3 linked regions of the Lepisosteus oculatus genome follow. The protein of the gene in region 2 interacts with the protein of the main gene of each other region in a pairwise test. Links are inferred from orthologs where the notes say so. Each region holds a gene or a part of one and is shown on either strand. Other genes may lie near its edges.

Region 1 (7,618 bases), on a different chromosome or scaffold from region 2:
CTTGTTAGCCTCACGTCTGCTATGGATCTCTGACAAGACAGACCAAAATGTAAGCTGTGAAAAGAAGACTACTGATGTCTCTTGGGACTGGTCATTCTCCATGCTGGCCTTCTTTCTATTCTTATAGCAAAATGCACAAATACATACGTTGTGCAAACCTACACCACAGATTAAGCCAACTGCTCCTTCCCAATGATGATTCCAAAGCTATAATCAGGCAATATCTTTTCTAAGTGCAGCCATAAAACGTGTGTCACGAGGTTGGGTTGAGACTGTCACATTCTTAAAATTGCCACTGGTTGCATTTGCAGAAATTGTTCTTATGGAAAGATTTGCTAGTGCAGACACTGCGTGGTGAAATGCTTTCACTCATTTTGCAAATTTGATTAGACCCCTCAAAATTCAGTATGATGATTGTTCAAAAATAAGATAAGGGAGATAATAAAATTATAACGCTCCTTTATGTCCTATAGTCCACAACCAGCAAAAGTGCCTAATTGTTCACAATTTACTCTAGAACGTCATTATCTGAATTAGCGTTGCAAAGAAAAACAGCTAAATATAAGAAATATCACTGATTGATTACTTGCTTAAAAGCAGCACTCTATTATATTTACAATTACAGTGGGCAATTTCTAATAAAGTATTTTGCATGCACAGTGCAGAGCAAAGAAGAGACAGATGCTTACCCAAGCTTGAGGGTTTGATCAGGACATCCAGCACATCGTAAAATGGCAAACTTTTCAGCTGGACGTCAGGATGGACAGGCGGGATGGGAGGTGCCGGCTGCTGCATGTCGATCCCGGGCTTCGTCTCGTGCAGCAGGACAGGACTCTGCGCTGCGGAGTGCGGCGGGATCGAGCCAGGCGCGCGAGAATGCACACCGGCTCCGGCCAAGTCCGGGTCCACGAGGGAAGAGTTACTATTCAGGGAGAAGCCGGAGGGCTTGAGGGCAGACAAGTCGGGGAGACTTTCGATTGTTCTGGGGTAACGTCGTCTATACAGTTCCTTAATTTTGATCTGAACAGCTGGACTGCACCCACTCTTTAGCAAGTGCAAGGCTCTCAGAAGGAGTTCATGCTTGCGACCGCTCTTGTTACGTCCTGCAAAGCCCAATAAAACCTGTAGCTCTGAGACCCGAAAACTTGAAACCATATTCTGAAAAAATACAAAAAATATAAACATTTGACGGGTGTTTATTTGGTTCAGCACAACTTCAGCAAGGCAGAACACTGGGCAAATTATACTATTGACACCATAATAAAAGGATAATCTACCATCTCTACAAGTGTTGAATAATCATAGCTCTTGTGCTACAGGGCTCCTTTATCATCATTTTACATCACAAGCAGAAAGGCAAGAAAAACATCACAAAGAACTAATTGAGATTAAACCACCTCCTGAAGAGCTCAAGAACTAGAAGTGTTCACCACTATAGCAATGTGCGGGTAAAGTGACAAACAAGTACAAAACACTTTCTACGGCGACAGCACCTTATGAAGCTCCAATTATTCCTATTAAATACTCAAACAACTAAATTATTTTTACTGTGTCAGTCCAGGGATGCTTCAGTGCCATCTTATGTATGAATGTAAGAATGAGGCTTACATTTCCTCCAATAACGGATTTGAATTCTTTATAAAATGAAGTACATCAAAGGCACACTGTAGACGTTAGAAAGCAGCCAGGTGTGGTTTCTGTACAGGATTTTGAGTGCATTCAGGAGAGTGAACGGTACTTTGTCTATTAGCACGGCGGGGGGAAAACGACTGTCACCTCTGGAGCAGTAGAGTTCCACCGGCTCTGCATTGCTCGCTGAGCGGCATGTAGTTTATACTCCACCCATACACATCTATAATATCCATCATCAATTTGACAATTCTCCCCCTTAACTGTGGTTTGATGACCACGTCCCTCCCAAGAAATCCCATCTGAAAAACCCACAGAAAAAAAGTAAGAAAACCCCGACTGACCCTTCATTATATGGTCCATGCTTGATTGTTCTTACTTGTTAATCCTTTTTCTTTACATTTCCTTAACAAATGTGATCGTATAGCATCTAAAATGTTAAGAATAATTCCAAAACCCATTAAAAACGGGAAAAGAAAAAAAACAAGGCAGACAACACACGTACTGTAAGCAGTCCTTGTCGCAAACACACTGCAACAGAGATTAAGCAACAGTTAAAAGTTGGAATAATAAAGAGATAAAGGGCACCATAATCAGAAGCACGGAGTTCACAACAGATTGCACGGTTCTGGTGACAAAACGGTTGATCTCGAAATCGGTAGAAATGCATCTGCTATACGGATGAAGAGGCTACTTACATGGTTTCGAGAATTGGCACAAGCTGTAAATATGTACAACACAACAGTCTAGACCAGATGTTTTGGCGGAAAAAATACCGTTCATAAAACCTAAAAACACATCTACGACAACAATGATGAATCAAATAGCAGAAAATGTGTACTTAAAGACACATCTATTAGAATTCAAAAGTTACACTCAACAGGCCTAATAATATAATTATTTTACGAGACACCAAATAAACCGTAACCTCCGACCAAAACACAAGAGGCAGACATTAACGTCTCCACTTAGTAAACTCCAATTAAAATATCAGTTCTAATGTAACGATTCCATAACAGATATACCCAATCATTCCAATGCTTTACGACGATGCTCAGTGCTCTTTCTATGTAACACGAAATTAATTTAATACTTTCTCCTACCCTCAGCTCCTCAAAATCCGCCATTTTCTTTCCGCGACCATCCTGCACCGCTCCAGGGTACCACCCACGTGACTAGGGTGAGCCCTTGAAAGAACTGGGAAGCGCAACATAAGAAAGGACAAAGCGTGGGCCTATTGCATGTTATCTAAAAGGCTTTACTGGAACTGGTCACATTGAAGGCAGAAGTGTCCATTTCTGATCGTAAACTGCAGAGATACAAAAAAACATTAAAGTTGCCAGTCTTGCAAATTATAATTATCAGAGTTTTGGTAGCTTGCAGTGCCACTGCTTCATTTAGAAGGCTTTTGGAAGGATATTTGAATCAGCATCCTCTACAAAACTAGATTTTCTTTTCTTTCTTTTCTTTGTTAATCCTCTCTCTTTGTGTAAGCAACTGCCTACTGTTCCACGTACTCCCTCTCCCACCAATCAGAGGAGCCCTTGTGGAAATTAAGGCTTGGTACATTTAAGACAGAATGAGAAGTCATTCAATCACTCTAAATGACCCATATTTGTATTAATAAAATCCTGCAAATGAAGCTTTAAGAAATTAAGAAGATTACTTTAAGAGGTCTACCCATGGCTGTTTGATTACCTCATGGGGCCCAAGATCAATTTGTAAAACAAAACAAGAAAAATAGTGATTTCAAATACTTAAATAATTTACATGGCAATTGGTACTGAAATGTTGGCAGAAATTTAAACAATGTGAATCTTTATACAATAATTTGAAGGTACTTTATTTAAAATGCTAACAACATGGTAAAACATCAAAATAATATGAAATATGTGAATATTTGAAATCTGTCAAGTAATGTAAGAGGCGGAATGCTTGACAAATTTTAAATCACACTCTCAAAATTGCAGATAATGATTTGAGATGCAATATAAAGTGAATTTGACATAAGTAATGTTCTGTACTGCAGCCCCAACTTGCAAAAAGAAAGATTTTCTATATTCATTCCAGATAAAAAAAAAGATCTGAAAAACTTTTTAAACGGAAAACTGTAACACAACCGACTTCTTAATGAATTCCTTCTGTTCTGTTAAGCATTTTACAAAACAAAATCACACTACAGTCAGCTCAGAATCGTTACTAATATATACTATCTTATGGCAAAAGAACTATACCAGAATGAATACGAAAGTGATACCAAATACAAAGGCTTTGGAAATCATCACTGAAACTAGATGTTGCTGTGCATCCTATTGCCACAAGATGGGAGCATCACCTCATAACTGGATATGCTACAACAAAACATGCAGAACTTTTTCTTGTTAAAAAAATAGAAGGAATCAGAGTCATTTTAATGATCAGCAAATAACCTATTGGCATAGTGTAAACACCCACATTTTTAATTCACAGACATCATAACTGGAATTATTTTTAAATGATCAATGTTGTTCCATGTTGTTTCCACTTGTGTTGTTTAGTTCATGTTTCAGTGTTCTTTCTGAAGAAGTGCACTACAATGACTTAATAGAATATTCCAAAGCTCTGGTGGTTCTGCTATTTAGAAAACAAAGCACAAAAAAACAAAATATACACTTGACATACAGTACTGTAAATTCCTGCATTTAATTTACAAAGCCAAACAATAGAATAATTATGGGGTTTTGTTTGTATTTTGCATTTTCTATTTGATCAGACGGTGATGAAAATCACATTCATCACCATCAATCCATCCATTTTCCAACCACTTCATCCAATTCAGGGTAGCCGGGGAACCAGAGCCAGCGTTTGACAGGCGAAAGGCAAGGTAAACATTGAATGAGATGCCAGTCCATTGCACACACACTTTCAGACACACTGGGGAGCACCCAGAGGAAACCCCCATGAAGCTGAAGAGAACATACAAACTCCACACAGATAGCACCACATGTACAATAACTCAGGGCCCCAGCACTACAATGCAGCAAAGCCAACATCTGCACCACCGAGTCACCATTCATCAACATACTTTAACATATTTATTTGTCACTACTTTAGCTTCTGATTTATACAGTATGATGGAACTTTCCTAAATTATTGACCACATATTCCAGAAGAACTAGTCCAGAGCTGTACAACACTGGACAGAGAAAAATAACGAGACTCTGCTGGGCACTTGAAATCCACGTGGTTCACTTCAATAAGGCTATATTAGTGTCATTATACCACAGGTGTCAAATCCACACCATGAGCAAAAAGTATTCCAAGATTACTGAAACTCTATGAGATATAGACATACATGTGCAAAACGCAGTGAAAAAAAGCTGGAATCAAAACTCTCCTGAAGAAAAAGGGGATGTTTCCATTCAGAAGGATGAGAACATTAGAAAGGTCATACAAGAGCTCGATGGCCGTTAAACCCATCAGGCACATTTGTTTCTATTTCTGTGTTGTTCCATAGCCAGTATTAGTTCTACGAGGAAAAACTGCCCCAAGGTAGTATTGAATACCTTAACCATAAGCATGATGTTGCCTATACACAGAATAAGAACTGAAGAAAATTTATGCTTTTAAATGATCTTTTCAAAAGCGTCTCTGCATTAATTGGCTAAGGTTACTGACTGATTTTAAGTGCTTGAAATGCATCTACAGCATATGTTTTCCCTTCATCCCATTAATTAATTCCAGGGTGCACGCATTCAGTAATTCGGTATCCAAAATGGCCTATTTAGAGTCATTTGAATGATTTAGCATGCCGTCCTGCACAAATATCAACTATTTACTTCTACAGACACACTGTTGCAGTCAGCAAAACCCAGGAAGCTTTTCCATTTGAAGGAAAATCAGAAATAATGAGAATCAAATAAAATATGCAAGGTAAACTGCAATTTCTGTTAGGAACTGAAACAATCAAGATGCAGATTGCACCTTTCTTCACTTGAATTGATTTACGTTAATAAGGATATATCACCGCTGAGTCTAATTAGCAAATGTGTCTAAATTGTAGCTCTCAGTAAAATAATCTTTGTTGTTGTCTTCTGTTCTCTGTTAGAACTATTGATCATGGAATAACTGAAGTCTAATCTAAGATAATTTGCATGTTACAGTATGCTAAGAATGCTGGTAACAGGTAACTGCTTGATAACAGCTCCAGTCTTTTATTAAAATACCTTATTAAAGTAATAAAGCATTGCATTACAATAATTATACTGCATGATTATTTTAGAAGTACAAATTAATATTAATGGAGTGAACTGGGTGCTCTGGGCAAACTAAATAAAAATATCGTCATAACCAGTTTGTAGCCTTTTATGGACCACACCTAGCGTGCAGTGGTTCTTTAAGCAGTAACCAAAAAAACGAATGTCGGATTAATTAAGAAAAATCTTAAAATTGGAATTACATAACATTTATGCCATCCCTGAAAAATGAACTAATCTTACCAGTGCAATATTTGTGCAAGTGATGGACTATTCACAAATTCTACAATGAGAAGAGAGAATCAACAACACACCATTACAGCAAGGGAACCTTCTTCAAGTGAGTTTTATTTTCTTTTTACTTTGAAGTGGGAAATTAATCTTTTCTTCAACTTTTTAATACCAAGCACCTGAAGAAGAAAGAACAGCATTGTTGTACCAAAAAAGGATAATGTACTGTAGTTATATAGAACTATGTACAGTACAAATGCTAATATTTCACAAAAACACAAATTCTGCATATACTGTACACCACATTGTTACTCACTTGCCATCTCACGAGAATGAGTTTCTTCCATGAATCCGAAGGGGACTGACAAAGCCAATCAGGGAACCACACACTCTGACAACTTGAGCAGGTAACAACTTGTCTCAGGAGGCATCCTGATTTATAGTGTGCAATATGATCATGGTAAGCTCCCCTTGATACTCTTGCCTTGCTTCCTCAGTTTGACACCTTTGTTTCTTAAAGTGCTAGGCTTCATTCCAAATATTCTTCCTCCTTCTGGGTTTTTAAAAAGCCATAATCTCCAAAGAATTGATAATGTTATGATTTATACACTTGATGTATTGTCATGATTAAGCTAAGAGACAACATAAATAAACCAATGGAGCTGATGGGAGATGAACGTGGCAGCAATGCTTGGAGAAACAAAAACAACTAAGTGTCTCAAGGATTTGTTCAGAATCAACAGTGGACCTCACAACAGAGGACAGAAATGAAAGTTACAGGGAAGTGTTTTTAGCACTGAGAATAGGAATCACTTTTTTAGCAGAAAATCCACAAATTGAATGTCTCATGGTGGTTAGTGTAGGTATTCATGTAGAACCTGATGTTTAATTACATTGTTAGGGGCAGTACAATGTAAGCATATACAATTCAATTTCCTGTTAATCTGCTAAAAGGGTCCCTGACGAAAATGTTCCTAGTAAATAATGCAACATGACAGCCATAACTGTGGTCACGGGAGGACTATGCACACAGCTGTACAGCTGTACAATTTGCTATACACGTGAAGAAGAGATTTACAAATCTTTTTTCATAAAATCGGATTTGAGAGCCATACAGTAGCAGCCATAGACTCAGTACCGTTATTTTCATTCAGGTCAAGATACAGATCTTATATAATACAATATCTGAAATGTAGTGAAAATATAAGATATTTTGGTTGGATTTTGATTGAAAATGAATATGATGGGATGTATTCATGAATGACAAGAAACCTGCCGAATTTCAAGTCGGTCAGTACAGCGATTGTACTGCTGCTGCTTTTCAATGCAAACACGTAACATGACAGCCATGCCTTTAGTTTGAGCATTTGTGATAGAAACAGATTGTGTTGTACTGGCAGTGGTGCTGGAATTAGTCTTTTGTCACTGTGTGGTAACTAGAGGAAAGTTAAACTCAACGTATTTTAAAACCGATTAAAATTGTAAAAAAAAAAGAAAATGGTCAGATGACTTAATGTTGATAC
Region 2 (7,927 bases):
GACAGAATTTGCAATATTAACAGATGCATATCCCCATTAAAAGCTTAATGAAGTCCAATCCATGACTTCTTAATTATCCATACCACTTCACTGTGACACTGGGGTTTACCAAGTTTCTTAAACTACTTTCCTGTATAGTAAGGAACATATTTGTGTTTTTTTATTTGCACGGTTTACAGATGTAACAAAAACGAGGCGCTGTGTGCAAAATATTTTTGGCATTTTAGCAACAATATATTGGCAGCGATAACAGACATATGAGAAAGGCGATACTAACTACAGTTAGAATCAAAACAAAAAATAAGAGTCCTAGAAGGTCTGACAGCCTAATAAATATGAAAACTCTATACAAATTGTAAAATATAGGCTAAACTTTGTAAACGTTCAAATTGCATAAATTGCATACAAAGCTACATTTCTCTGTATAGATGCCAGATGGGGCAGAGTCACAGGTTACTGGTTTTATACCCTTTTTAAAACATCTTGAAATAACCTACTATTTCAAACACACTATATCCCAGATAGAATACAATTACACAAAGATCAATCTAAATTAGAAATTACCACACTTTCAATTATAGAACGGCAGAACATCCAGCCTTTACAAAATAAAAAACGTTATGTTCCTAGCCCCTTTTTAAAAATCTGCTGTAGTGCCCTGCCTGAGCAAGCCTTAAATTATCAGCTATATCCCTGTAAGACCTATTAATATGTGCACAGTGCACCACATTTCCTCTATAACATCCAAGATAGAATTTATGTGAAGGCTATATATTTCATGGCTAAATTTACTTGCCAACAGAGAGTGCCAGCTAGTTTCGTAAAGGTTAGAATTTTTTAACGTTATCTTTAAATAGATACTAACCCTCCTTAGCAACAGGCACATACAGAGAACAACACCCCCACACGCATGAAGCTTTTACAGTATATCAAACTGGTAGGAGCTTATATGCAGTAGCAAGGATCACTCTAAACCAACTGTCTATCACTTGCATTTAATTCCACGGTAAGCCCATTAAAAGACAACGCTGTGGGCTTTTTACATTTTCTTCTTGGGGAAATGTAACCAAAGAGATATGCTAGAGACGTAAATCCTCACAAGGAGTGGATCAGGGCTGGAAATGTGCACAGGACTTATAAACACGTTTCTTTTCACAACCCTGACACGCCATGAATATCACAGGGTCTTTAACTATGAAATCATATCCTGTAGTTATTAAAGGATTAAAAATTTCAACTTAAGGACTGCCACCTAAAACATTGAGATACTAAATAACAGAAGAGGAAAAAGGAATATATTAGCCTTTAAATGTCTGCAACATCTTTTCTTGAATATACAATACATGCAGGAAATAGGTCACACTTTAGCTTACTGTATTAGCCAATACCTCTTATGAATATATTTCCACAGCATTCTCATTATCCTATTAATAGATTTCTAACCAGCAGTAATGTGAAATGCATATTACTTAAGCAATGTCAACTGTAAAAAATGACACTTACAGCAACCCTACATTCAGACTAATTCTTCAGTTTTTACTTATAGGATTGCAATGCTTAAAGTGGACAACAGTAGAATCTACAATTTTCAGACATTGAAAACACTAATTGTGAAGTTATTTCAGGGATTTTGGTCTTCAAAAAACAATTAACCACACACACGCACATGAAATGTACGTTAACACCCGCAAATCAATGAAAATGATATTCACATTAGAGGGACAAGTTATGCATTACACATACACTAAGGTGCCAATTCTAATAATCATCACCATCATTATTAATTCTGATTATAGCCAGTACGACTGTTACAACTATGTCTCCAATGCATTACCTAGCAAACAGAAAGAAAGCATGGTTTCTCTATAGAAACATTATTCTAAAACAAACACACACCTACACAACACAGAAATGGAAAACGCAAGGAGTGATCTAACCTGGGTGTCAAATCCATTCTCTACAATGCTACCCTTTTTCTGGGGAGCCCCATTCCCTTCAGTCTCGTGCCCGTGGGGTGATTTGAGGGGGATCTGGCTGGAGTAGGTAGGCTTGCAGACCTCCAGCTTGCTGCCCAGCTTCAGGTAGGAGGGCTGGGGGATAGTCCTGACTGGGACATGCTGGATGGGAGCTGCGCTGTGCACGGGCTTGGGCAGTCCAGACTTCATCTTTGAGGCCACCAGAATGGCCGGCATCTTCCCTTCTTGCTTTCCGAACACGTTTCAGTCAGGAGGAGAGGCCAGAGCCCTGAGAGATGTGCTTCTGACAGGAGAGGCAGGGAAAAAAACCCAGCAGCTGCTGTAGTGAGACCGCGTGCTTCTCCCGATTAAGAAGCACAAGCAGAACCAAACACTTACGGCAGGAGAATCGGAGCTCGCGCTCAGGAGCGTCCTGACAGCCTGCTGACAAGCGGTTGAATTTTTTTATCTAGTTTTTAATGGTAAACCATCGGTCCCGAGTGATTTGCTTCGGTTTTTGCCCTTCTGTCCCCCGTTGGGTTTCCAGAGGTAGTGTTCCCACCTGTGCCTCAATAATGTGATACTTCTTCCCACTGAGCTGTGCCTTCATTATCCTCTCATTACCAGCTGAACGGAATAGTGATGCTCAAACAGGGAAAAAAAAACATTTGAGGCAACTTGCTGCTACTGTACATATGCTTTCCTGTCACTGTAGAGGAGTCATTGCAGGATTTCCAGATTAAGAAGCCTTTTCCTTCAGCGTTAGCCAAGTAGCAGATGTAGCTTAGCAAGTTAATGACTAATGCCCTTGGAGAGGAGACTCAGGGAGACAAGCATCTTAGTCTAACCATCCTCCTTATGGGCACAGTTTTTCTCCAAAGCTTTCTTCACAGACGAGGCAACGCATCCCAGTGCCTTCTTAAAGATCTCCGTCACACAGCTGATGATATGAACTCCTGACTAGAAATGAACCTCTTCCTTCACACATGTTCCACGCAGAGAAACAGATTGCCTCTCACCCACAGACGCCAGGCAGCACAGCTGATTGCTGCCTTCTGTTCACATTAGATAAACCGTCTCTTGCAGGTCAGATTTAAGAACCTTTTTTTTAAAAAAAAGCTGTCAGGTTCTCCTGGCTTAGCTGAAGGAGGCAACAGAGATTAGATGAAGAAGAAATAGGGTACTGTGTGACAGTAGTGGAGTGCTGCAATCTGATTGGCTACATTCACTGAAAAAAAAAAAAGGATCCCTGCAAAAGAGGAGGGGTTTGCACGGAGGATTACAGAAATTCCCTGTCATTTCATCGCAATACAGCGCCTGCGCTATTCCAAACTAACAGAGAACTGCAACAGGCATATTGTCCTCTGAGCTCCTCAAAGCAAAGTCTGAACAGAAGCTTTGGTATTTTCTGAAAGAAAACACGCAGGGAACATTTTTTAGGGCAAGACTGCATTATGAGCAGCCTAACAAATATATTTTAATGCAGTTAAGGCAATACATGTCCATTTCTATTTTTAATATTGAATCAACAGTACGTCCTTTATGCAAAAAACATTGTCTATGACTTGGGCAGCTCAAGCTGGTGACTAAATCAGCCTCCTACAGTATCACCATACCACTGTTTTATTTCAAACTGGCATCTCTATATAAAATACTTAGTGTACAGGAGAGTGGCTTATTGAAAAGGAAAGTAATTTTACTTGTGCTTGTCAAGATTGAGGGCGTTTAATCAATTAAAATAAGACTGTTAAGACTTTTTTCTTTGATTCATTCTAGAACATTATGTATATAAAAAAATGCATTAATGCTGAAAATTAATTGCCTTAATGGACTCGCCACACATATGATGTCATTGATGTTAAGTTTCTGGATGAAATTAATGTCGACTGCAATTCCATAACATAGAAAGACAAACTGATGCTGTGACTCCCTCACTGCCTGCGGTAATCCAGTTACCATAATCTTAAGTAATGGAAGTCCGAGCTGATCTGATTATGGGTGTGTCTGAGTGTTAAGAAAGCCTGGAGAAAAGGCTTCACGTTTTTAACTCATCAGTATAATAGCCTGCCAAGCTAATTGGAGTGCTCACAAAATGGACACAGAGACAGGGAATCGAAAAATAAAGTCATTTCACTTATGTTTTTCATTTGTTTTGAAGACATGTAGACTTTTCAAAAGTTTACCTCAAATAAATAGTACTGTACTTTTAATTACTTACAACAGTAATGTATGTATGAGTTATCCAGTTCCTACGTTACCCTTCCTACAGAAATGTGCAATGCTGGAAAAAGAAAAGGCATGAAGACCCTTTACTATAATTAGAAGAGCAGAGCAGTAGGTTGATGAAGACAAGCTACACTTATCCTCCTACTATACAGTAGGTGCCACCTCCAGGCCTTCGGCTTCTTTCGTTCCCTAAATGCTCAGAGCTCCTACAGTGCAACAGCAGCAGGAGGACAGGAGCTGCTCTCCCTGATGACTCTCAGGTCTCAGTTTTTTACATGAACCTCCACAGGAAACATGAGCTTGTTTCAAATACAAGAAAGAACCACACAAAGCTCCAGATCCACACTTTTGAATATGGTCTTTTTTGGTTTTGTTGCACACCTGAGACCTTTCCACAGCATGTCAGTGTGACATAACCAAACTGAACACTTTTTCCCCACAAATAATCTCATTAATTTAAATCTACTAACTGATCCAAACTTAAATACAGGCCTACAAGATAATTATGAATGTTTGTGTTGTATATCAATGAAATATGACAAAAGAGCATTACACTTCACAATATTATCAACAAACACATAAAAACATTTACATACACTCCTTTTCAAGTCAGCAACAAAGCAGTTTGGGGGAGGGGAGTTCATTCTAAAATGAAATTAAATCTAAAATTCTCAACTATTTAATGTTGTAGTCCTGTTTACAATTTGTCCTCCAGGCAAGAAAGAAAACAGGTTCCCATGACAACAGATTTATTTTTTTCAATTTTATATTCCAGTACTTCAAAGAATAAATATAGCATATTCCATTTTTTTCTGGTCTCCCAAACCCACACCTTAAATTAAAAACTTCTGACATACGAGTTCCTGGAACAAAAAAGCAAATTGATGCTGTTTTGAAGTCATTTGTTTAAACTAGGGAACAAAGAATGCTTTCTGTAGAATTCAGACATACAATTGACCTTAGGCATTAGTGGAAATAACCTGCAAAAATGGCTTATGTAGTGAATATATAAAGCTAGGAAATTGGTCTGCACCAGAAAAAATTCAGTCCATTTGGGACCAATTTAGTCAGATACCTTTGCATGTCTTATTCCTTCAAAAATGTCTTATTTCTTATAATAAGATCTCAGGTAATCCAAGACAAATACCACTGCAAGGGCTATACAGTAATTGATGGGAAAACCATACAACTGAGTCACAGCCTGACCTGGTTTCCCAAAGAAACAAAATGTCAAACAAACGGAATGAACAGTACATGATCCATAACATAGACAGCACAGTACTGTTTGCAATACTCACTACACCCCTGGTTTCCTAAAATCAAATTTCCTGAGGAATCAAAAAACGAAAAGCCAGATCCGGTCTGCAATTTCAAGACCATATCACTGCCACTATAGACTTCACTGCAATTTAGTCATATTCTTTACAAACTTTCCCACCATCCTTTAAAAATTGGTTTGGCTTCGGCATTGGTCCTAACCTCTATTTCACAGCCTTTTATTCCATTTTGTACTGGCCCCTGAAGGCCTTTCAGCTATGTCATCGCTCCACTTGATGGAGTGATTTTTCAATCACAAAGTTTCAATCATTGTGAACAGACTTTGAAAGAATACAGTACTGAAGGGACAAAGAACATTTGGGTATAAAAGTAATTTTAACTAACCAAAATGACAACGAAATCCCACAGTAAGCACAGAAGCAGTTTGGGATTTTGAAGGGCACGTTGTACATCTGGTCACCGTGTAAACAAGTGAACGCATCTGAAGTGTGAAAAAATCATTTTGACTACTCTCCACAACAGAGGTGAAACCAAAAGAACTTAAAAAAAAACAAGAACACGGCATGTTTATTAGCTGCTCCCCACTGAGAGAATAGACATTTGCAGCCGTGAACTGGTGACATCTGACTTAGTGCTGCATGAATTCTCTGTGGGGGGGCTGGGGCGGGGGAAATGTCCAGTCGTCTCTTTTACATCACATTTTTCCAAAGGATTTTTCCCCTTACGAAAAAAGCAACACAAACCAAAACACTCCATTAAGTTTCCAAATAGAACTTTAAATAGAGGACAATGGAGCAAACACACAGATTCATGGTTTTATGTAGGGCACTGATTTGATTGACAATTTGGAATAAGACATAGCTAAAACAAAAGCATGCCTAGAACACCACAAAAACTCTGAAAAGACCTTTATTATTATTTATTATTATTAAAGGACGAGGTTTTATCATGGCGAGCACTTAAGATACTGAAAGATGGCTAATACTCACTTTTAAAGGAAAATATGAAATGTTTATTGTCCCTATTTCTTATAAAGACACAGTACTTCTCTAAAATTACAAAAAAAAAATTCCTATTACAAAGGTTCTCACCTTTTCTCAACTGTGAAACAATTGAAGACTAGAGTTCAGACACAGCACAATTAAATCAGTAATCAACAGATGATTTTGTTAACATGTTGGATAATAATATACGAATCAGTAGTTGATAAATTGTCTGTGATTTTAAACTTGAATAAACCACCACTGTCAAATTTGTAAGTAGAGTATATCAGAGTCTTTAATAGAGAAAAGATCAATCAATTATTAGCATTGGTCATCACTTGTAAAACGACTGCAAGGGCGACTCACTTTACTTTCGATGCAGCAGCAACAGATCTGCATTGTTCTTCAACAAATTGTATAATGCAGAAGATGCAAAGGCTAACAGGGCAATGATTTCCACTCCACTAAAGCAGGTCAACATTATCTAACAGACAATGGAACAACACTCTTATTATAATGTTATAAGAATGTTATTAGAAAATATAGCCTGAAGGAGACAAATTCTTCCCATTGTAACACTAGATGGCTAAACCAATGCTTTGCAAATAGAGCTCATCTTAACTAAGTGTGCAATGTCACATCCAATAAAGATTCCCCAACTTTATAGGAACTTATATATTTGTTGATAATGTGACTGTGTTAGTTAAAGCTTTTCATGTAAATTCTCTTTCCCTTAGCCTTTCCCTGTAGCCTCTCTCTTTACTGACCAGTAAGGAGAAAGGCTGATACTAGCAGGCGTAAGGCCTTAATTACCGCCCATAGGTCACTCAGTACCTTCACTTTATGTCTTCAGGAACCATCTCCTCAAATCCCAAGTATTTATTATGCAGCTGGCTATCTTCTGTCATGTATGTGTGTTACTAACCACCATGGACTGTACTGTCCTCCTTCCCACTTACAGTACAGTCACTCCAATCCAAATGTGTAAAGGAATACCTGTGTGTCTGCAAGAACGTTACTATCCAAGCTCAATGCAGTGACCCCAGCATGTAGCAGGCATGAGGGCCACTCCTTTGGAAGGGCGACGACAACAGCAGATTAAATCTGCTCCATGTTCACATCGTGAGGAAAATATTTTGCAGGTGTGATTCAGTTCTCCTGGTGGGGGGAAGGGTGGACAAGCTGGAAAAAACAACAGTACCATCACAGCCACACAAAAAAAAGAAAAATAAAAACCAGGAGAGAGCTGCCTTCTCCTCCCTCTGCATTTCTGATTCTTCGCACAGCCCTGTGATTTTATATCCTCCCCTGTGTGCAGACAGCACCGGAGAAAGCTAAATCACGTAAAAAAAAAAACAAAATAAAACACCACTAATGTGAGAAAAGGATCTAGGGGCTTTAATGGCTCAATGGAGAGTCTTAAACCACGCATCTCTACAAAATGCAACATTCATGATGTTGTAAAACATCCAGTGAACAAAAGAA
Region 3 (7,494 bases), on a different chromosome or scaffold from region 2:
TGCATGACAATGAATTTGAAGTTTTCAGAGCTTTTTGTTTTTAGCTATTTGGACCCCCAAAACCTGTGGATCAATATTTTTTTTTCTAAAAGGAAGGTGTTTTTCTTTTTGGCAAAACATCTGAGGGCCCGCAGCCCCCAGATTTAGAGATTGCTGTATCCCATAATGCAGAACAGAGCGCATGCAGTGCTGTGGATAGATTACAAGATTTTTTTTTCTCTTTTTTATGATGCCCCACGAACAATGATCATCACCAGGTAGTCCTCTTCTGTTTTGGCAAGAGCTTTAGCAGAGGAATCCAAGAACTGTTGAGAGAAATCACAGGGAGGGAAAGCATGAAGGACTCCAGCGTTGTCCTTGTCTCTGCTGCCACCTACGGGGAGACTGATAACTCCTGCGGCCTGTTTTTGCTTTAAGTAAGAGACCAGGTTCCTCAGCGGCCTCTGGGTGGACGATGCTGGCTCAGATGAAGACGACCCGCCCTCGGAGTTCCCTGGTACCGCCAGGAGGACAGAGTAGCCGCTGGGGCCTGCCACCTTGATACGTCGGGTAACCTCATCAAGCTTCGGTTGGTCCAGACGCAGACGCTGGGTGATTTTCAGCTGGGCCACTTTGCCACCTGTAGAGCCGTCGATCAACAGGCTGGTTGCCACGTTGAGGTCACCTTCCAAGAGATGCATGTTAGAGGGGAAGTTGCTGTTTTTCAGCAACAACATACCCTGCCAGGCCAGGCACAGCTTCTGGCCTGCCTCCTGCTTCAGCCCCTGGCTGCCCTTGGAAGAGCTCATCTCGAAGCGCTCCTCCTTCTTGGCTGGGCTCTTGCTGGTCTCGCTGATCTTGCGTTTGCGCTCTTTTTCCACACCAGATCCTGCCCCACCCCCGACTCCGCCTGCAGCCGCTTCCCCCGCACTGACAGTTTTTAACCTCTCTCCTCCCCGCTTCTCCCCAGCAGCCCTCTCCAGGCTGGCATGCCTGTCCCGTGCTGGGGAGGGCCTCTCGGAGCGCAGGGGCCGCTCCGAATCGCTGTATCGCCCCCCGTCTCTGCCACTGCTCCCCCCTGGGCTGCGCTCAAGGGAGGGACAGTGACGCCTTCGGGCGCGCTCGCTGCTGTCAGGAGAGCGGTCCAGGTGGCGGCTGTCCTCCAGCAGCCGCCGCTTGCGCGTTTGGTCACGGTTCTGCAGCTCTCTCTCTCGCTCCAGGGACCAGGCCTCCCTCGGCCTGCGCTCCCGGTCCAGATGGTCCAGGGGATCGAAAGCCGCCCTCACTCTGTCCCGGACTGGAGGAGCAGCCCAATCGGTGGCCGGGTAGAGTTCTCTTTCTCTGAAGTGCAAGGGCGGAGGAGTCCTCTCCCTAACCCGCAGCGACTCCGGGGCAGCGCGGTGCACAAACGACTCCGCCACAATGTCGTAGTGAGGCAGGGGCAAGGGCTGTAGGTACTGCTGCTGGTAGCGGTGCTCCGTGTCGGCAAAATCCACCCTCAGCCTCCGTTCCGGTCCCCCCAGCGGGAAACCGCGCATGTGGGTGCAAGCTGCCTGTGCTGCGTCCAAGCTCTCGTACTGGATGTAGGCCCACGAGTCCCCCTTTCTGTAGTCAATAGTCCGAATGGTACCAAAACGATCAAACTCCCTGGCCAGGGCAGCCAAAGGAACCCAGGGTCCGAGTCCGCCCACCCACAAGCGCGTGGTGGGAGTGGCCTTACCGTAGCCAATTTTAATGGGGTTTCGGCAGATCACTTTACCCGACATACTCAGTTTTGCCCGGTGAGCCATGTCCAGGTTCTCAAACTTGAGAAAACCGTACGTGCTGGTCTGGCCACGGGAGGGCCGTTTAATGTCCACCTCGGTGATCACCCCGAACCTGTCAAACGCCCTGCGCAGATCGCTCTCTGTGACGCCAATATCCAGGTTCCCCAAGAACAAAGTCCTGTTGGCTCTTTGGTCATCTTCTGGCGAAATCAGCTCTTCCTCACGGAAAGCGGCGGCACGTTCTGCGATGTTGTAAGCTGGGCGTGCCCGTGCTTCATAGAAGGCATACTCTCTTTCCCTTTCCAGATCTCTGGGTAAAGGTGGGGGCGGGGGAGGGGGTAGGCGACCCAGGGCTAGCTGCTGCAGCCTGTAGTCTCTGTAGCAAAGCCCAGTGGGGGACAGAGGTCTCTGGGCATGCAAATGTCTGTGCCCTGCCACTGCTGCATAAGCCTCCTTTTCAATGGGAGAGCGACTTCTTCTCCGGTTAATGTACACAGCTTCGATCTTCAAAGGGCGGTCGTAGAGGACCAGCCTTCCCCGGGCGTGCTTGGCTGCCCTGGCATCCTCGGGCCGCCTGAAGTTGACAAACGCCACCCTTTCGTCGTTAATCCGACTGATTTTAACGCTCACGTCCCCGAATTTTTTAAACTCGTGAAACAGCCCGTCCTCTATTTCCTCGTCGCTCAGCTGCGAACCCAGTTCGCTTATTTTTAGAGTCTTGTACTCACTTTCGGTACTGGTGAGCGGAGGCCGCTGCTCCCCGCGGGAATTGGTCCTGGTGGCGGCCGGGTCGAGAGTCAGGTTGTTGTGGTTTTTGCTGCTGGAGCTAGCGGCGGCGTTGGCATAGCTGTGATTGCCCCCGGCCCGGCTGGAAACGTGTCCGTCGAAGTCCCGACTTTCTCTTTTCTCGGCCAGCAGACTCCTCCTAGCAGAGCCCCCTTCGCTTTTGACGGAACTGTTGCCATTGTTGCTGCCTCCGGCCGCTGAGAGGGTCCCCATTTTCTTGCTGGTGGGGTGGCTTCCTCCTCTGTCTCGGATGTCGTCCAAGGCCCGAGAGCGCTTCTTCACCGGTGATCTCTCCTTGCCCTTCATCTTTTAACTATTGTTCCCTCAGGCCGGCTTTTACTCACTCGAAAAAAGCAAATCACTAAACACGTTATCACGGGCAGCCACTCTCAGTTACTTTTCTTATTATATTATTGCCAAATATTCAAGTTATTTTCCACCCCTCACTGTCCCTTCAGCAAAAAGCCCGCATACGCCATTTTGGAACAACACATGATAGACCCCGCCTTCGCGTTATTACTGGTGGAACTGTGTCGGTTGGGAGAATGTTATTGGCTAAAAGTAATGCCACTCAATACGGGTCTTTGTGTTGCTTTATGGGACTCGGCTTCAGTCGTAGCACGCTGCATTTATATTGAGAAACTGTAAAGCGGTTTAATTTTTGGCACTATTATACCCTGTCTAAAAACAACGTTGTTTTAAACAGGAATCGTTTTCTCAAAATTAAGCTTATTTTATTGGCACAAAATGTGTTAAAAGCACCCGCCCACATGACTTGGGTCTTTGCCCCGTCCAAGCTGATGTTAATTCTTAAATAACATAATGTATTTTTACATAAAGTTAAGACATTTTATTTTTTCATAAGAAAACAGCAATGTCTTCGTTGAAGATAAGCTTTTATTTTTCTGCTACCGTCATATATTTGCTTTACAAAGGTTCTTTTATTTTTTGGAAATGGCAGCCATTACGGTTCCAGTAGTGGTAGCTGCATTATGTGTCACTCTATGTAGAATAGAATCCATAATGGCGAGGACACTGTTCCAGTTTCTCACTTTCGGAACACCTGGTACATCATACCCTAGTGAGTCGTGGCTATGGTAACGTCTAACAAAGTACGTTTTTTTTCTTATTTTCAGTTACGTGTCGTGTACTGTATTTGTGGTAGTTTTAACCAAGCGTGCTAAACAGTTTATCACCCAAAGTACAAAGTGTTTTTTTTTTAACATAAACTGAAAGAGTTCGAGAAATGCTGGGCGTTCCTGCATTTTAATATTTTGTCTATCAACCCGAATACTTTATATACTTTCTGTCTTCTATGTGTATCGTTACATCGATTAAGTTGTAGCATGAAAATGTGTATTTGTGTATTATGTGTCTTCCTGAAATATATGTAACTAATATAAGACATCTCTTAAAGAAAAAAAAATCAGTCGTTATCTGGAGTAATTTAGGGCTATGTGGTGTTTAAAGGGATTTTTAAATCGGGCACACCATTTCCTGTTGTTAGAAGGTAAACTGTATAAACCACAAAAATGTATTAGAAACACATTTAAATGTAAGTAATATGTTCCTGCGCCAGTAAGTTTATGCAACCTACTTTTCTTGTGTTTTCACGAGTGCAACCTGATTTTCGAAAGGATCAAAATAATAAATGTAATGTTTATTATTTGTAATCTCCCAGGGGCTTCTGTCCCTCGTCTGAGAATAACCCTTGCTGATATTCATGGTGTATTGCATGGCATTATGAATGGTAGGCCTATAGTTTTTAAGCAGCTTTCATTTGATCTGAATGTTAAATTTCATAACATTCTTCATGCTTACTGTTCCTGTTAATTGTTTGAAATATTCTTCTGTTCTCAAAAGTTTGCAGCTCAGCAATAGCAATATTCCCAGGTCAGTGTCTTTGCAAAGGTTTTGAAGGACTTGTGCACTGGCAGTAATGCGTGGTCTATGAGAGTAACAGCCCAGCAGATAATGGGTACTACAAGCCAGGTTTAAATGGGTGAGCAAGCCTCCATTGTTGAAAACCTGATAGCAGTAGTAATACAGATCTGTGAACTCAGTTAAGTCGTTATGGGCTCTGTTCATTTGGAATGAAAGACATAGCGTTTAAGGATCAGAGGTGAAATCAGTGGGTTACTTAAACACTTCCAATGTTATTATTATTTGTAAGCAGTATAATTACTCTAAAGTATTGACATAAATGTGCTTATGTTTTAAGTTAAAATGTACAAATCATACAGCTGACTGCGTCTTACTTAGGGAACAAGTCTACAAACCACCAGCAGGGGGAACCGTGAACTGCATTTATGTGCTTTTACTTGTTCAAAATCATCCTACTTGGATGACAATTTTAATTGCTAAAATGGCTTTTGAACGGATCTTATGCATTTTTAATAGCCAGAGTGTGTGATGGAAAATTAAGTGATACAATTGCTGGCTAACATTTGTACACACACCATTTCCAATAATGTTATTCAATACCCTATTATGTTTAATCAATATATTTGTTAAACTATACTAAAAATATTATCATCTAAATGTATTTCTCATTCATGTACTCTACCAAGTGGTAGCAAGATTTTTAGCAAGTTAAAACAAAAGGTACAAATATTTTGTATGAAACTTTATATATCCAGAGGCATATAAAATGCAACAAATGGATTTGTTCATAATACTTGATGTGTTTTTAATGCCTCTCAGTGTGACTTTATGCCAATACAAGAAGCTCAGTGTTTCTTTACTGGTGAGGTTAACGGCAGTATTGTAGCCTATGAGGTTTAGCCGAAGCACAATTATTGCTAGGCAGTAATCAGCACATCTGTTTTAAACAGGATTTTAACTCAGAGCTTCACAGCGTAATCTCATCTCATCCGTCCATCCACCCATTTTCTAACCACTTCATCCAGTTCAGGGTCGTGGGGGAGCTGGAGCCTCTCCTGGCAAGACAGGGCACAAGACAGGGCACGCCCTGGACGGGACACCAGTCCATCACATGGCACACACAAACAAAAAACACAGACATGCACAAACGTATGCCAGAGTCAGTTTTCCCAGAAGCCAATTTTCCTAATAGTATGTCTTTGGACAGTGGGAGGAAACCAGAGCACCTGGAAAAAACACATGCAGACATGGGGAGAGCATACAGACTCCACGCAGATAATAATTGCTTACACTTATATAGCACTTTTCTGGACACTCCACTCAAGGTGCTTTACAGGTAATGGGGACTCCCCTCCACCACCACCAATGTGCAGCCCCACCTGGATGATGCAACGGCAACCATAGTGCGCCAGAACACTCACCACACATCAGCTATCAGTGGGGAGGAGAGCAGGGTAATGTAGCCAATTCATAGAGGGGGATTATTAGGAGGCCATGATTGGTAAGGGCCAATGGGAAATTTGTCCAGGAGACCCTACTCTTTTCGAGAAGCACCCTGGGATTTTTAATGACCACAGAGAGTCAGGACCTCAGTTTTACATCTCATCCAAAGGACGGCGCCTGTTTACAGTATAGTGTCCCTGTCACTATACTGGGGCATTAGGACCCACATGGACCACAGGGTGAGCGCCCCCTGCTGGCCCCACTAACACCTCTTCCAGCAGCAACCTTAGTTTTTCCCAGGAGGTCTCCCATCCAGGTACTGACCAGGCTCACACCTGCTTAGCTTCAGTGGGTTGCCAGTTGTGAGTTGCAGGGTGATATGGCTGCTGGATTGATGGATTTTCTTTCCTGTTATCTCCCTCTGTAGTTGTGGCTGCCGAAACGATGGGCCATTAATTCTTCACACCCATTGTTTCCTATTGTATTGACACAAGATCAATCCAACTAGGGCACATTTTTCAAACCTTGAAAACAATAACATTGTCCACAGATAACTTCATAAGATTCCACTGAGTCCACTGAGACTGCCGTTATAAATTTGTTGTTGAAAAAGATTACCGCTTACAAGATTCTGTAACACAGGGCAAACTATCTGTGGAAAAAAAACCTGAAAAGTGAAGTGGTTATCTTCTTGCAACAAAAAATAAAAGCCTTGAAAAATGGAAACTCTCAGCCTTTGCCAAGTTGGATCAGCAACAGCTCCAGTGCTATTACAGTCTGTACCTAAGAACCGATGTGCTTCATTGATGAAACAGTCACTGTAGCTGTGGATCTTCCTCCAAACACTAATGAGCTGTTCCTCAAGCCCAGCTCCATTATCTTACAGGCAGCAGCCTCAGTTAAGGCTCAGATCAGCACACAGCTGCCAATGTCGTTCTTGTCTCGCTGCTGTAAATATTCACTGATTATATCTTCCACATGTTCACCACTCTATTCATGTGGCTTAAGTCAAACATGATTTAAAAGAAGATAATGAATGTCATAAAAGCTGATGGTTTGGGTGAATTCTGATTAGGGCATCTTAATTGTTAGGCTATTATTGGAAACAACCCCTGTTACCTGCCTCTCCATCTCTTTTGTTTTAAAAATAATTTAATAATAATTTCTTACCCTCATATAGTGCTTTTCTGGACCACGACCGATATGTAGCCCTACCTGGATGATGCGACAGCAGCCATCGTGCACCAGTATGCTCACCACACTCACAATGATCACAATGATCAGCTATCATTAGGGAGGAGAACAGAGTGATGAAGCCAATTCATAGATGGGGATTATTAGGAGGCCATGATTGCTAAAGGCCAATGGGAAATTTGACCAGGACACTGGGGTAACATCCCTACTCTTTTTGAGAAGTACCCTGGAATTTGTGGGAAATTCCACAGAGAGTCCTGGGTTTTACATTTTATTCATAGGATGGCGCCTTTTTACAATATAGTGTTCCTGTCACTATACTGGGGCATTAGGTCCCACACAGATGAGCGCCCCCTGTTGGTCCCACTACCACCTCTTCCAGCAGCCACCTTTGTTTTCCCAGCAGGTCTCTTATCCAGGTACTGACCAGGCTCACACCTGC

Evidence for each region.
Region 1: the proteins of nav2a (region 2) and pias2 interact in binary tests that used the Homo sapiens proteins (3 or more experiments, as listed by UniProt). The two-hybrid records come from large-scale screens. The link is inferred for Lepisosteus oculatus from reciprocal best matches to the Homo sapiens genes NAV2 and PIAS2.
Region 3: the proteins of nav2a (region 2) and rbm15 interact in binary tests that used the Homo sapiens proteins (3 or more experiments, as listed by UniProt). The two-hybrid records come from large-scale screens. The link is inferred for Lepisosteus oculatus from reciprocal best matches to the Homo sapiens genes NAV2 and RBM15.

What each region holds. Positions count from the first base shown.
Region 1 is NC_090698.1:40,483,418-40,491,035, reverse strand, and holds the start of pias2 (E3 SUMO-protein ligase PIAS2), read right to left. Parts: upstream 3,080-7,618; 5' UTR 2,757-3,079; coding exon 2,733-2,756; intron 2,060-2,732; exon of another isoform or gene 1,974-2,059; intron 1,159-1,973; coding exon 690-1,158; intron 1-689. UniProt on the Homo sapiens protein: Functions as an E3-type small ubiquitin-like modifier (SUMO) ligase, stabilizing the interaction between UBE2I and the substrate, and as a SUMO-tethering factor.
Region 2 is NC_090716.1:7,202,877-7,210,803, forward strand, and holds the start of nav2a (neuron navigator 2), read right to left. Parts: upstream 3,097-7,927; 5' UTR 2,193-3,096; coding exon 1,938-2,192; intron 1-1,937. UniProt on the Homo sapiens protein: Possesses 3' to 5' helicase activity and exonuclease activity. Involved in neuronal development, specifically in the development of different sensory organs.
Region 3 is NC_090700.1:37,400,560-37,408,053, reverse strand, and holds the start of rbm15 (RNA-binding protein 15), read right to left. Parts: upstream 3,016-7,494; 5' UTR 2,838-3,015; coding exon 225-2,837; 3' UTR 1-224. UniProt on the Homo sapiens protein: RNA-binding protein that acts as a key regulator of N6-methyladenosine (m6A) methylation of RNAs, thereby regulating different processes, such as hematopoietic cell homeostasis, alternative splicing of mRNAs and X chromosome inactivation mediated by Xist RNA.